Rattus norvegicus: one gene and its partner. The protein of the gene in region 1 interacts with the protein of each later gene in a pairwise test. Links are inferred from orthologs where the notes say so. Each region holds a gene or a part of one and is shown on either strand. Other genes may lie near its edges.

Evidence for each region.
Region 2: the proteins of Klhl42 (region 1) and Sertad1 interact in binary tests that used the Homo sapiens proteins (3 or more experiments, as listed by UniProt). The two-hybrid records come from large-scale screens. The link is inferred for Rattus norvegicus from reciprocal best matches to the Homo sapiens genes KLHL42 and SERTAD1.

The regions. Positions count from the first base shown.
Region 1 is NC_086022.1:181,732,916-181,738,548, forward strand, and holds the start of Klhl42 (kelch-like protein 42), read left to right. Parts: upstream 1-2,316; 5' UTR 2,317-2,361; coding exon 2,362-3,197; intron 3,198-5,633. UniProt on the Homo sapiens protein: Substrate-specific adapter of a BCR (BTB-CUL3-RBX1) E3 ubiquitin-protein ligase complex required for mitotic progression and cytokinesis. The BCR(KLHL42) E3 ubiquitin ligase complex mediates the ubiquitination and subsequent degradation of KATNA1.
Region 2 is NC_086019.1:91,901,848-91,907,464, forward strand, and holds Sertad1 (SERTA domain-containing protein 1), read left to right. Parts: upstream 1-1,449; 5' UTR 1,450-1,561; intron 1,562-3,660; 5' UTR 3,661-3,663; coding exon 3,664-4,374; 3' UTR 4,375-4,718; downstream 4,719-5,617. UniProt on the Homo sapiens protein: Acts at E2F-responsive promoters as coregulator to integrate signals provided by PHD- and/or bromodomain-containing transcription factors. Stimulates E2F1/TFDP1 transcriptional activity.

The DNA of each region.
Region 1 (5,633 bases):
TCACACATGTATATAAAGTATCTGGAGCATACCCTCCCCTGATTAGTTCCTCCCCCAAACACTTCTAGTGAACATCCCCTCCCTACTTCAGGCCCTCTATGGCCTCTCTCTCTCTCTCTCTCTCTCTCTCTCTCTCTCTCTCTCTCTCTCTCGTAATCCTACTGGAATGTTGATCGTTCTTCTTGTTGGTTATCTAGTGTAGACTACAGTTCTGTGAGCTCATGAGTGTGATCGCTGCTTCATGTGCAGAAGACACATTCCACAGCACTCCTCCCTACCCCCCCACCCTTACGTGCTTTTAGCCCCTTTTTTTTCATGTTGTTCTTGAGCTTGTGGGGAGGGGTTGCTGCAGAAGTCTGATTAGGGCTGTTAGTCACATGTTCCCAGCACTTTGATGAGCTCTCTGCTCACCAGAGACAGAGACTTCTTGGGCCAAGGCAGCACTGATCTGTGGATATGAGCACAAGTATTCAGGAAGTAACTTGACAACATATTCATTTAGCAAAGCAACAGTGGTGCGCTCTCCTAGGGCTATGACCTCCCAGGCTGTAGGCCTTTGAGCACAAATTGTCAGTGTCTAATGACCAATGACAGCTCCATGTACTCAATATGATGACACTGAGCAATGCATTCACGAAGCCTTGAAACTATAGTTCGCTACTTTGTAACAAAGGAGTTTATATGTGTTTGTCTTTATGCCCAGCTTTCTAGAACACTGTGTGGCTTACTAAGATCATTGGATCTTTTAAGACGCCCCACTATATTGTCAGGTGTCAAAACCTTGCAGGACCAGTGCCCAGTGTTGTCAGGTAACACTTCAGATTCCAGTCCAGCTGACCTCACTGTGGTAATGTGACCCTGGTTGAATTGCCTCTCTAATGAGAATCATTCTCAAAGGTTGGCTTTCTGGTTTGTTTTAAAAGGCAAGAGAATACCAGTTGAAGGCGTGTCTCTGGTCTGCAAACAAAACTTCCATTGGTAAAGATTCTAAAGAGCCAGAGACTAAGAGCCTGTTCTTCTGGTGACTCACTGAATCCTGCCTTGTTGCTGATGGAGGCTCAGACAGAGCCTGGTCCAGCCTCTTTGAAGTCGGCCTTCCCAGAAGCCCCCAGACCAATGTCTAATGGTAGCCGTGGCACGTTGCCTTGCTGTAGTCTACTAGATCCTTGCCTCTCACCTGAAACCCTCCTCATACCCCAAACACCAAGAGTGACGGATGGGGAACAGAAACCTGCCAAGAACGATTCCAGGCCTGTCAATCACAGGGCAGTTAGTGTCCTGAGTTTTTCAGAGTGTCCAAGAAAGTAACGAAGTATAGCAAACCCCAGGTCCGTGTGTTGTGTCTCTTTCCCATAGGAAGGCAGAATCCTGATAGGATGTTCTCTGTACTTCGTAGCTCCTTACCCTTGCGTGTATTCTGCAGACTATAATGACTTACAGCCCCCTCTTGGTGAAGCAGCCGACAGATATAGTAATACTGAGGAATGCAAGCTGGGACATCATGGGGCAGACACCATGCTTCACTACAGACCTTGGAATCCAGCCTTCCAACCAAGTGTCCCGCAAAGGAACACAGGAAAAATGTCCTTTCCCAACAGCTATGGCAGGGATGGGGGTAGGTTGGGATGAGAATGGGAAAGTGCTACCCAGAGGGGACAATCATCTCCATCCACTTGCCCCTTTTGCTGCCATCTCTGGTGCTGGGGTCTGAACTCTCTCTGGAGCCCCCTCCAAGCCACTGCCTGCCTTCCTGTCTGTCTGCAGGACCGGTAGTCACTGCAAGACTGTCTGTCCTGTCCATGGAGTTGATAACTCTTCTAACAAATTCGTTAGCCCCAGAAATCCGTTATTGCACCTTTGAATCACACTGCAGGTGCAAAATCTCTCAGTACTGACTGGCCTAGGAAAACTCACACAGGCAGGGACTGTGGGGCTGCGGGAAACACCAGAAGATCAAGTACAATGACTTTTGCGCAGGGGGAGAGCACCGCGAACCGACACGTTTGTTTGTATCCTAACATTGCTTGACAGTGGTTAAGAGTGCATACTGCTGCTGCGGAGGACAGGAGGACTCGGCTTCCGCGTAGGGCAGCTTACAACCGTCTTTACCTCAGGCTGCAAGGTGATCTGCCGCCTTCGGCTTCCCGGCACCTGCATTCACGCGTACGAACCCACACAGACACAAGGATTATAGACTCAGAGAGGCCGTTTACTTCGAGGGCGCGTGACGCACCGGCGGGGCTGAGCCCAGGGCCCCGAGCGGCGGAAGGAAGGAAGCGCTAGCGCAGGCCGGGCTCCGCGGAGGCTGTGCGCCCGGGGGAGGAGCCTGAGCAGCCGGGCGGCGGGCGCAGCGGCCCAGCCATGTCGGCCGAGGAGATGGTGCAGATCCGCCTGGAAGACCGCTGCTACCCGGTGAGCAAGAGCAAATTGATCGAACAGAGCGACTACTTCCGCGCTCTCTACCGCTCCGGCATGCGCGAGGCCGTGCGGCCCGAGGTGGGTCCGGAGGTGCAGCAGCTGCGCGGCCTGAGCGCTCCGGGCCTGCGGCTGGTGCTGGACTTCATCAACGCGGGCGGCGCGCGCGAGGGCTGGGGCCTGAGCGAGGACGAGTTGGCCGAGGCCAGCGTGCTGGCCGAGATGGTGGAGGCCGCGTCCTTTCTGCAGGTCACGGCGCTGCTGCGCTTGCTGCTGTCGCATGTGCGTCTGGGCAACTGCCTGGAGCTGTACCGCCTGGCGCAGGTGTACGGGCTGCCCGACCTGCAGGACGCCTGCCTGCGCTTCATGGTGCTGCGCTTCCACCAGGTGCTGTGCCAGCCGCAATTCCCGCTACTGCTGTCGCCGCCTCAGGCCCCCGGGGACTGCAGCCTGAAGCAGAGGTTGCGGGAGGCCCGCATGCGCGGGACCCCGGTCCTGGTGGCCCTGGGGGACTTCCTCGGGGGACCCCTGGCTCCGCACCCGTATCAGGGGGAACCCCCGTCCATGCTTAGGTATGAGGAGACCACAGAGCGCTGGTTCCCCCTGGCCAACAACCTGCCCCCCGACCTGGTGAACGTCAGGGGCTACGGCTCAGCCATCTTGGACAACTACCTCTTCATCGTGGGTGGTTACAGGATCACCAGCCAGGAGATCTCGGCCGCACACTCCTACAATCCCACCACCAACGAGTGGCTGCAGGTGGCTTCCATGAACCAGAAGCGGTAAGTGCAAGGGGGTGGGGGGTTCTGCACCCTTCATTCATTGCCCTGGCCAGAGGCGATGGATGGCATCTCACTTAGTGCTGCTAAGTGCTCCACCTCTGGTGGAGTTCCCAGTGAGCCCAGGGCTTGCCAAGAAGACAAGCCGTGTATCAGCTAGCCTAGTGGTCTTCTTACATGTGCAGGCCCCAGGTAAGAAGTTTTTCTGCCTCAGAAGAGCTTGCAGAGAAGGCTATTGAGAATTACGGAGGCACTAGCAGTAACTGGTAACTCTAGCTTGTTGTTGCTGATGGCGACTTTAGATCCTTCTCACTTGGGTAGGAGAGAGTGCATCCACTCTCCCTAGGACGATGTAAGGGATCGCCATAGAGCATTCTCTTTTCTTTTCATTCTCTCTTCATTTGTTTCTTATTACCTCCTAAGACAGCAATCATCTTTGACCCAAAACTTGAGCCTGGAGCGGTCAGCTACAGAATGGGTGTGCCCTTGTCTCTCTGCGTCTGTTGTCTACCTGGGAGGCCTCAGACACCCCAGTCTGGGTGCCTGAGTCCTTTGTGACTGTAGCATTAGCATATACATATAAACCCTACATGTACACATACACCTATACATATATACATTAGCATAGAGCGTATGTATATACAACCTCCTGCATATGTTCAGGTGGTTTTCCTTTATTTTCGTATGCTCCTCAGGCTGGTCTTGCAGACCTGCCATCCTCTGCCATCCAGCCTTCAGAGAGCTGTTACTTATGACTTCGAATGTAACACATTTACCACGTCAATGGTTGTCAGATGGCATTGGTGAGGGAATGACAAAAACCAGTGTGTACTGTTCAATTTCTCCCTCTTACTGTTAGAAGATGTGTTCCTTTCCACCTCACCCATCTTTCCCATCCTTCGAAGTAAGGAAAAGAGAGAATGAAAGCAATATAGAGAAGCAAATAAAGGAAGAGCTGGGAAAGAAGACACCAGGAAGAGGAAGGGAGTAAAGGCCGCAGTCCCAAGTGGCCTGGAGGAGAGGTCAGGGCTTGTAGAGTGGGCCTGTTGCCCCAGCTGCTTGGAAGGCTGAAGCAGACAGATCCCAAGTTAAAATTCTTTCTGGGCTTCAGAGTGAATTCCAGGCCAGCCTGGATAATGTAGCAAAACCAGAAAGAGTAGGGGAAAGGTGTCTCAGTGGGAGAACGCTAGTCTAGCAATTAGGAAGGCTCAGATCTCACATTGGATGCCAGTGTCCTAGAAGTGGAAAGAGTAACCACACAGGACAGACACACTCTTCTCTCCCCACTTCCCTCCCCTTACCCCTCTCTCCCTCCCCTTCTTTCTTTTCCTTCCTTTCTTCCTTCCTTCCTTCCTTCCTTCCTTCCTTCCTTCCTTCCTTCCTTTCTTCTTTCTTTCTTTCTTTCTTTCTTTCTTTCTTTCTTTCTTTCTTTCTTTCTTTCTTTCTTTCTTTCTTTCTTTCTTTCTTTTTCTTTCTTTTTATCTTGGAGGCATAGTTTGTCTTCATAGTCCTGGCTGTCCTGATTCTCACTCTGTAGATCAGGCTGGCCTTGAACTCAGAGATCGTCTTGCTTCTGCCTTCCAAGTGCTGGGATTAAAATTGTGTGCCGCTGCCACCCAGCTGAGGCTAGGTACTTTTTACCAGGCCCCCTGATGCCATCCAAGACCCACTGTGGTCTCTTCCAGGTCCATAACAGGAAAAAGGGACCTTTAGGTCAGAGATTATTTGCAGAAACATACCTTGTTCTGATGGCTCAGAGGTTAAGAGCGCTTGCTGTTCTGTGCTCAGCATCCGTATCTGACACCCCTTGACAGTCTTTACAGGCACTTACATACACTGGCACACAAATAGACATAAAATAAATCCTAAAAATCCTGGCAAGCTGAAGTGTGAGAGGCAGAGCTGAATGCTCCCTTCCAGAGGTACTAACTAGGGGGTGGGTATGTTTTCACTCAGCCTCCGGCAATATGATACTTCCATGGCTGAGATGATACAGTAGCCATCGCTGAGATGATACAGTAGCCATCGCTGAATGATACAGTAGCCATGGCTGAGATGATACAGTAGCCATCGCTGAGATGATACAGTAGCCATCGCTGAATGATACAGTAGCCATGGCTGAGATGATACAGTAGCCATCGCTGAGATGATACAGTAGCCATGGCTGAGATGATACAGTAGCCATCGCTGAGATGATACAGTAGCCATGGCTGAGATGATACAGTAGCCATCGCTGAGATGATACAGTAGCCATCGCTGAATGATACAGTAGCCATGGCTGAGATGATACAGTAGCCATCGCTGAGATGATACAGTAGCCATCGCTGAATGATACAGTAGCCATGGCTGAGATGATACAGTAGCCATCGCTGAGATGATACAGTAGCCATGGCTGAGATGATACAGTAGCCATGGCTGAGATGATACAGTAGCCATCGC
Region 2 (5,617 bases), on another chromosome or scaffold:
CCTTAGCTTGTCACTCAGCAGCACCAGTGCCTTTAACCACAGCCCAGCTGAGGAGTGCCATCTCCTCAGCCCAACATTCTACTGTTTGTGTTTGTGCTTGCTTGTCTGTTTATGTACTATGTGTATCAGGTGCCTGAGAAAGCCAGCATAGGGTGTTGGATCTCCTAAAACTATAGTCACAGGCAGTTGTGAGCCGCCATGTGGGTGCCGAACTGAACCTGAACCAGGAACTGAGCCAGGTCCTGTGCACTCTTAGCCACTGAGCCACCTCTCCAGCCCCTGATATCCTAACCTTAGTAAATCATCCGGCCATTTTATTTCATTTTATTTTTTCAGTGCTGCAATTGAGCTCCGGTGCTTAACATGCTGGGATGTTAGGCGAGAACTCTTTCACTAAACTGTACCTCTCCAGCCGTGTTTTAAGACTAGCTGAAGGCCCACTGTGGAGCTCAGGCGTTTAATCCCAGTTCTCATGAGGCAGAGGTTTGTGAATCTCTGAGTTAGAAGCCAGCCTGGTCTATAGATCGAGTTACAGAACAGCCATGGCTGTTATCCAGAAAAACCCTGTCACACGAAACGAAAACCCCAAACTAAAACATACAAAAACATACATATACACAAAAACTAAACTAAAAGCAAACTAACCACCCAACAACCAAACAACCAAAAAGACTATTAGGCGTGGCATAAGCCTGTGGTTCCAGTCACTTGAGAGGCTGTTCTGTTTTCCAGGCTAACTTGGGCAACTTAGTGAAACTGTCACAAAAACTAAAGTAACGAAAGTTCGTCGTTTTCTTTCTTTCTTTTTTAAAGACAGGATCTCACTCTGAAGTCCAGGCTGGCTTCAAACTCAAAGCAATCCCCCTGCTTTAAGTCTTTCCATGCTGGTGTTATGGGTGTGAACAACCACGCCCCGCAGGAAATTATTTTCAGGGACTTAAACTGCTGCCCAAAGTCACACAGCTACTCCGGAACTGATGCCCAGGACGTGACCCTGGTGTCATTCCGTCCCCACCTTACTCCCATCTTTAATAGTAGCAGAATCCAGCTGTCCCACTGTAGATTGAGTCCGGTATCGTAAATCCTACTGAGAAAACTGTTAATTTTGTAACTCTCAAGAGGCAGGTCCTCTTCCAGAAGTCATACAGTATTCTAAAATCACCATGAAGTGACAGGCCTGTACTTTAAAAAGGCCCAAACCCCTACCTGTCACCGCCCCACAAGGGAAATCGCTACCAGAGTTTGTCCCTTCGCTCAGGCAGTCCTCCTGGGCATGCGCTTTAGAGACAGGCTCCCCCCTCCTTCTGGAACGTCCCCGATCAGGCTCCGCCCACCACCACCAACGAGAGCGGATCCCGGAGCTGGAGGGCGGGGCTGCCACGCGAGTGGGCGGGAACTAGGGATTGTCGAGTGTCTGGAGTCGTGCGCCCGAATCAGAACTGCGCCTGCCGTCCCAGGTGTCGGTTGCTGGAGCCCAGCGAGCTAGCGATGCTACGGCAGCCGCTTCCTGATTGGCTGCGTGTGGCTCCCTCTTCGTTCTGATTGGTCGGGAGTGATCTGGGTATGTAAATGAAGGGGCCTGGTAGGGAAAGACGAGGGTACGGGCGACCGGGATATTTAGCGTGTTCGATACCTCAGTTAGGTAGATGTTCGCCAGAGCTGTTCGAGATCGAGGGCCAGGGCCTGTATGTGTCGCCCGGCCCGGCCGGGCTGGGTGAATCACGTCGGAGCCCGAGAAGGGGGCGGAGGCGCCGGCTCCCTGGCTCCGGCTGCGTGACTCATCCGCCCCCGCCGCCGCCGCTTCGGGAGGAGCCGCCTCCACTGCCTTCCGGAAGCGAGGGGAGGCCGGGCTAGCTGAGCGACCCGCGGGGGTCGCGGCTTGCTATACCCGGGAGAGACAGGCAGGACCCCGGAGAATCTAAAGGATCCCGGGGTCAGAGGGGCCGGAGTCCCGGGGGACCCAGGTCGGAGTACCGCTAGGGGGCGCCGGGACTCGAGGGGCGGAGTCGGGGTGGGGGCTGAATTCCTGCGGTTCCCGGCTCCCGGGTCTTCAGCGAAAAGGGCAAAGACTCGGTTTTTACTGTCTTGCCAGATCTAGGCTAGTGTCCCCGGGACTGAGACCCTGCAGTCTTTATGCCCCCGTTAGATAGGGCTAGGGGTTCCAAACTCTAGACCTCTCACCTTGGAAGAAAGTACGGATTTTCAAACTTCTGTCAATGACTTAACTCCTGCGGCCCTTCAGGGTTTCCCTTGTCGGTTCTTTTTCCTCAATAAGTTCGGGATCCACCGCTTCCTTGAATGATTGCTAACATCTTAGGGTTTACATTCAAGCGGTCAGCACCCCAACAAGTGCTGCAGCCTCGGAAGGCAGGCAATTTGGGCCCACTTCTATCCCCAAACCTTCATACACACACACACCCGATGCTGCCCCACCACCAATCTTGCCCTAGGCAACAGCTACCCGGGATCCTCTAGAGACATTGCCAACTAATGTCACCACTCATCTTCCTGCCTCGACCCTACCCTCCATGACTCTGTCCTGACACTCTGAAAATCCAAGCCTCCTCCTACTCCTGCTCGCGCCTCCTTCTGCCTGCTCCCCACCCCCACCGGGACTCCTACTGTGTCACTCTGCGCCTGCTCCTAGTGTGTGGTTTGTTTTTTTTTTTTTTTTTTTTCCTTCCCAGTTCAGGTTTACCTCTCTCAGTCTTCCTTTGGCCCTCTCAGGAAAACCTGGCCCAGGTTCTCCATAGCCTACACAGCATACATCAGGGTTCATCTTCAATGTATCTTTCTTAGAAAGACCTGCCTTGACTACCTCCAAGATGGCATCTTCCTACCAGTTTCTGTACATTTGATTATTTAATGGCCCATGCATATAGCAGATACTCTGTGTGTTGATGACTGCATTTGCAATCAAGGAGTGGCACACACACTATCCTAACCCTTGTGAGACGGAGACAGGAGGATTGCCTGGAATGGCTGGCCAGCCTGGACTACAGTTGTGAGGCTCTGTCTCAAAAGAATAAAACCCAAAAGTGCTTATAAATAAGTACTAATTATGTGGGCTTAGAGCTTGCTATTCCTACAAAGGACCTGAGTTCAGTTCCCAGTTCCCACATCAGATGGCTTGCAATTACTTTAAAACCAGTTCCAGGGACTCCTGGCAGCTGACCTCTTTGGGCATCTGCACTTTCATGCACACACACAAACACAAAATTTAAAATAAAAGTAAAATTTCAAGTACTAATGACTACGTTTTTGTTCTTTGAATCTAATCTGTGTTAGCAACTTCTAGCATAGATGCTATCTGTATCTTAGGAGTTCACCGAGGGGGCTGAGGATATAGCTCAGTTGGTAGAATGTTTGTTTTACATGCAAGAAGCCCAGAGTTCCATCCCTAGCATCAAATATACCAAGGATGGTGGCACACACCTTTAATTCCAGCACTGGAGAGATGGAGAAGGGAAAAGCAGACGTTGGCTTACCTGGCAAGTTCAAAGCCAGCCTGAGTTCCATGAGACCCTATCTCATTAGAAATAAATATGCTTAGGAAACCTAGCCCTCGGAGGTCAATTGACTGGTCAGGATCACACTGACAGCAGTTGTGAGAGCTGCGTATTGGCTTTCCATAACCGAATGACTCCTTCCTCCCTGCAGAGGATGCTGAGCAAAGGTCTGAAGCGCAAGCGGGAGGAGGAAGAAACAATGGAGTCCCTCTCAGTGGACTCGTGGTGGTTGGATCAAAGCCGCCCAGCAGTGGCACAGACCCCAGCAACCGTGGCTTCTAGCTCTCTCTTTGACCTCTCGGTGGTCAAGCTCCACCACAGCCTTCGGCAGAGCGAACCAGACCTCCGACACCTGGTGCTTGTGGTGAACACACTGAGACGAATTCAGGCGTCCATGGAGCCTACGACCGTCCTGCCACCTGAGCCCATTCAGCCCACAGCCCCCTCTGTGGCAGATAACTTTCTGTCTAGCTCAGACGCCGGCCTCTCAGCCTCCATGGCCAGCCTCCTGGAAGATCTCAGTCATATTGAGGACCTGAACCAGGTCCCCCAACCCCAAGCAGACGAGGGGCCTCCAGGCCGCTCTGTCGGGGGTGTCCTGCCCAACCTGGGTGCCTTGGACTTGCTAGGCCCAGCCACGGGCTGTCTGTTGGACGATGGACTGGAGGGTTTGTTTGAGGACATTGATACCTCCATGTATGACAGTGAACTTTGGTTACCAGCCTCTGAGGGTCTCAAACCTGTCCCTGAGAATGGCCCAGCCAAGGAGGAAACTCCAGAGTTGGATGAGGCTGAGCTGGACTACCTCATGGATGTACTAGTAGGCACACAGGCACTGGAACGGCCACCAGGACCTGGGCGCTGACCCTTAGACCCAGGGATGATTGACTTGGATCTGAGTTGAGCCTGGTGGTTACACCAATCCACTTTGACGTGACACAGATGGCTTCCCCTCACAGAGGAGACCCAGGGTCACTTTGGAGAGACAGTGCTGAGTCCTGGAAACTTCACATCCATCCACCTGTCTTGGCCAGTGAGGGAGTTAGAAATAAGCTCCCAGTGGTGAAATGACGGGACCCAGAGACAGCAATGGTGTTTGGGCTAGGCTGGGGGTTGGACTGGGATAATAGTCTGGGCTATCCCATCCTATTATCCCCAGTGTGGGAAGAGACCTCATAATTTTTGGAAATTAAAACCAGCTTTGGGAAATACCAAGTCTGTGTGCTTCTTTACATCTGTGCCGATCAGGGATGAAATAACATCAAACTTGTAATCCCGTGACATTCCCACGGTTATAGTAGAATAAAACGCACTCCCGGTATATATCTTTGAGCAAAGGGCAGGAGCTTTCAAGAGGTCTCCCAAAATAAAACCACTAAGTTTAGTGGAGAGAAAACAGGACCTTAAGGGCCAGGCAGCTGGCTTTCCACGTAGAAGCTCTCCAGGTCCGGGCAAGCCGGGGCCACCTGCCTGCCTGAGCGCATTGGGCCTGGCCGGAGCCGGGTGTCTGCGGCCGCCCCCGCGGTCCAGCTGCATTCCTGGCCCGACTGGGAGGGGCCGCACACTCACAGCTCTGGCACGGGACCCAGGCTGCGTCCTTCCTGGCGGCCGTGGGGGCAGGGCAGGGCAGGGCCCCAAGAGCGGAAGGATGGTGGGGAGGGTAGGAAGGGAGGAGCCGGGGCGGGGCCGGGGGGAGGCGGGTGCTGGACTGCCACCCAAAGGGCAGGATGGGTCCTGAATCTGGGGACTGTGACACCGTAGGGCCGCTCCTGGATCTCCCCAGGGGCCGGAAACTCCAGGACTGCGGCCGGCCGGGGTGGAGCTGGAGAGGCGGGAGCTGCACGCAGCCCCAGGGGCCCAGAAGGGGTGGGCGGAGCTAGGTTTCCTGGAGGAACGGAGGAAGCTGTGCCCATTTCTGGAAGTGGCTGAGGCGGGCCACCAACAGAAGCGGATGGACATGGCTTCAGGATAGCTGGTGCCAAGTTAAGGATCCTCCTGGCTCCTGAACCCAAGCCTTGGAGACTCCTGTGCCTAGACCGCAGGACATCGACAGCCCCTTGCTGAGGCTGAGACCTTAGGAGCCCGAGCCGAGCTCTGCGGCGCCTCCT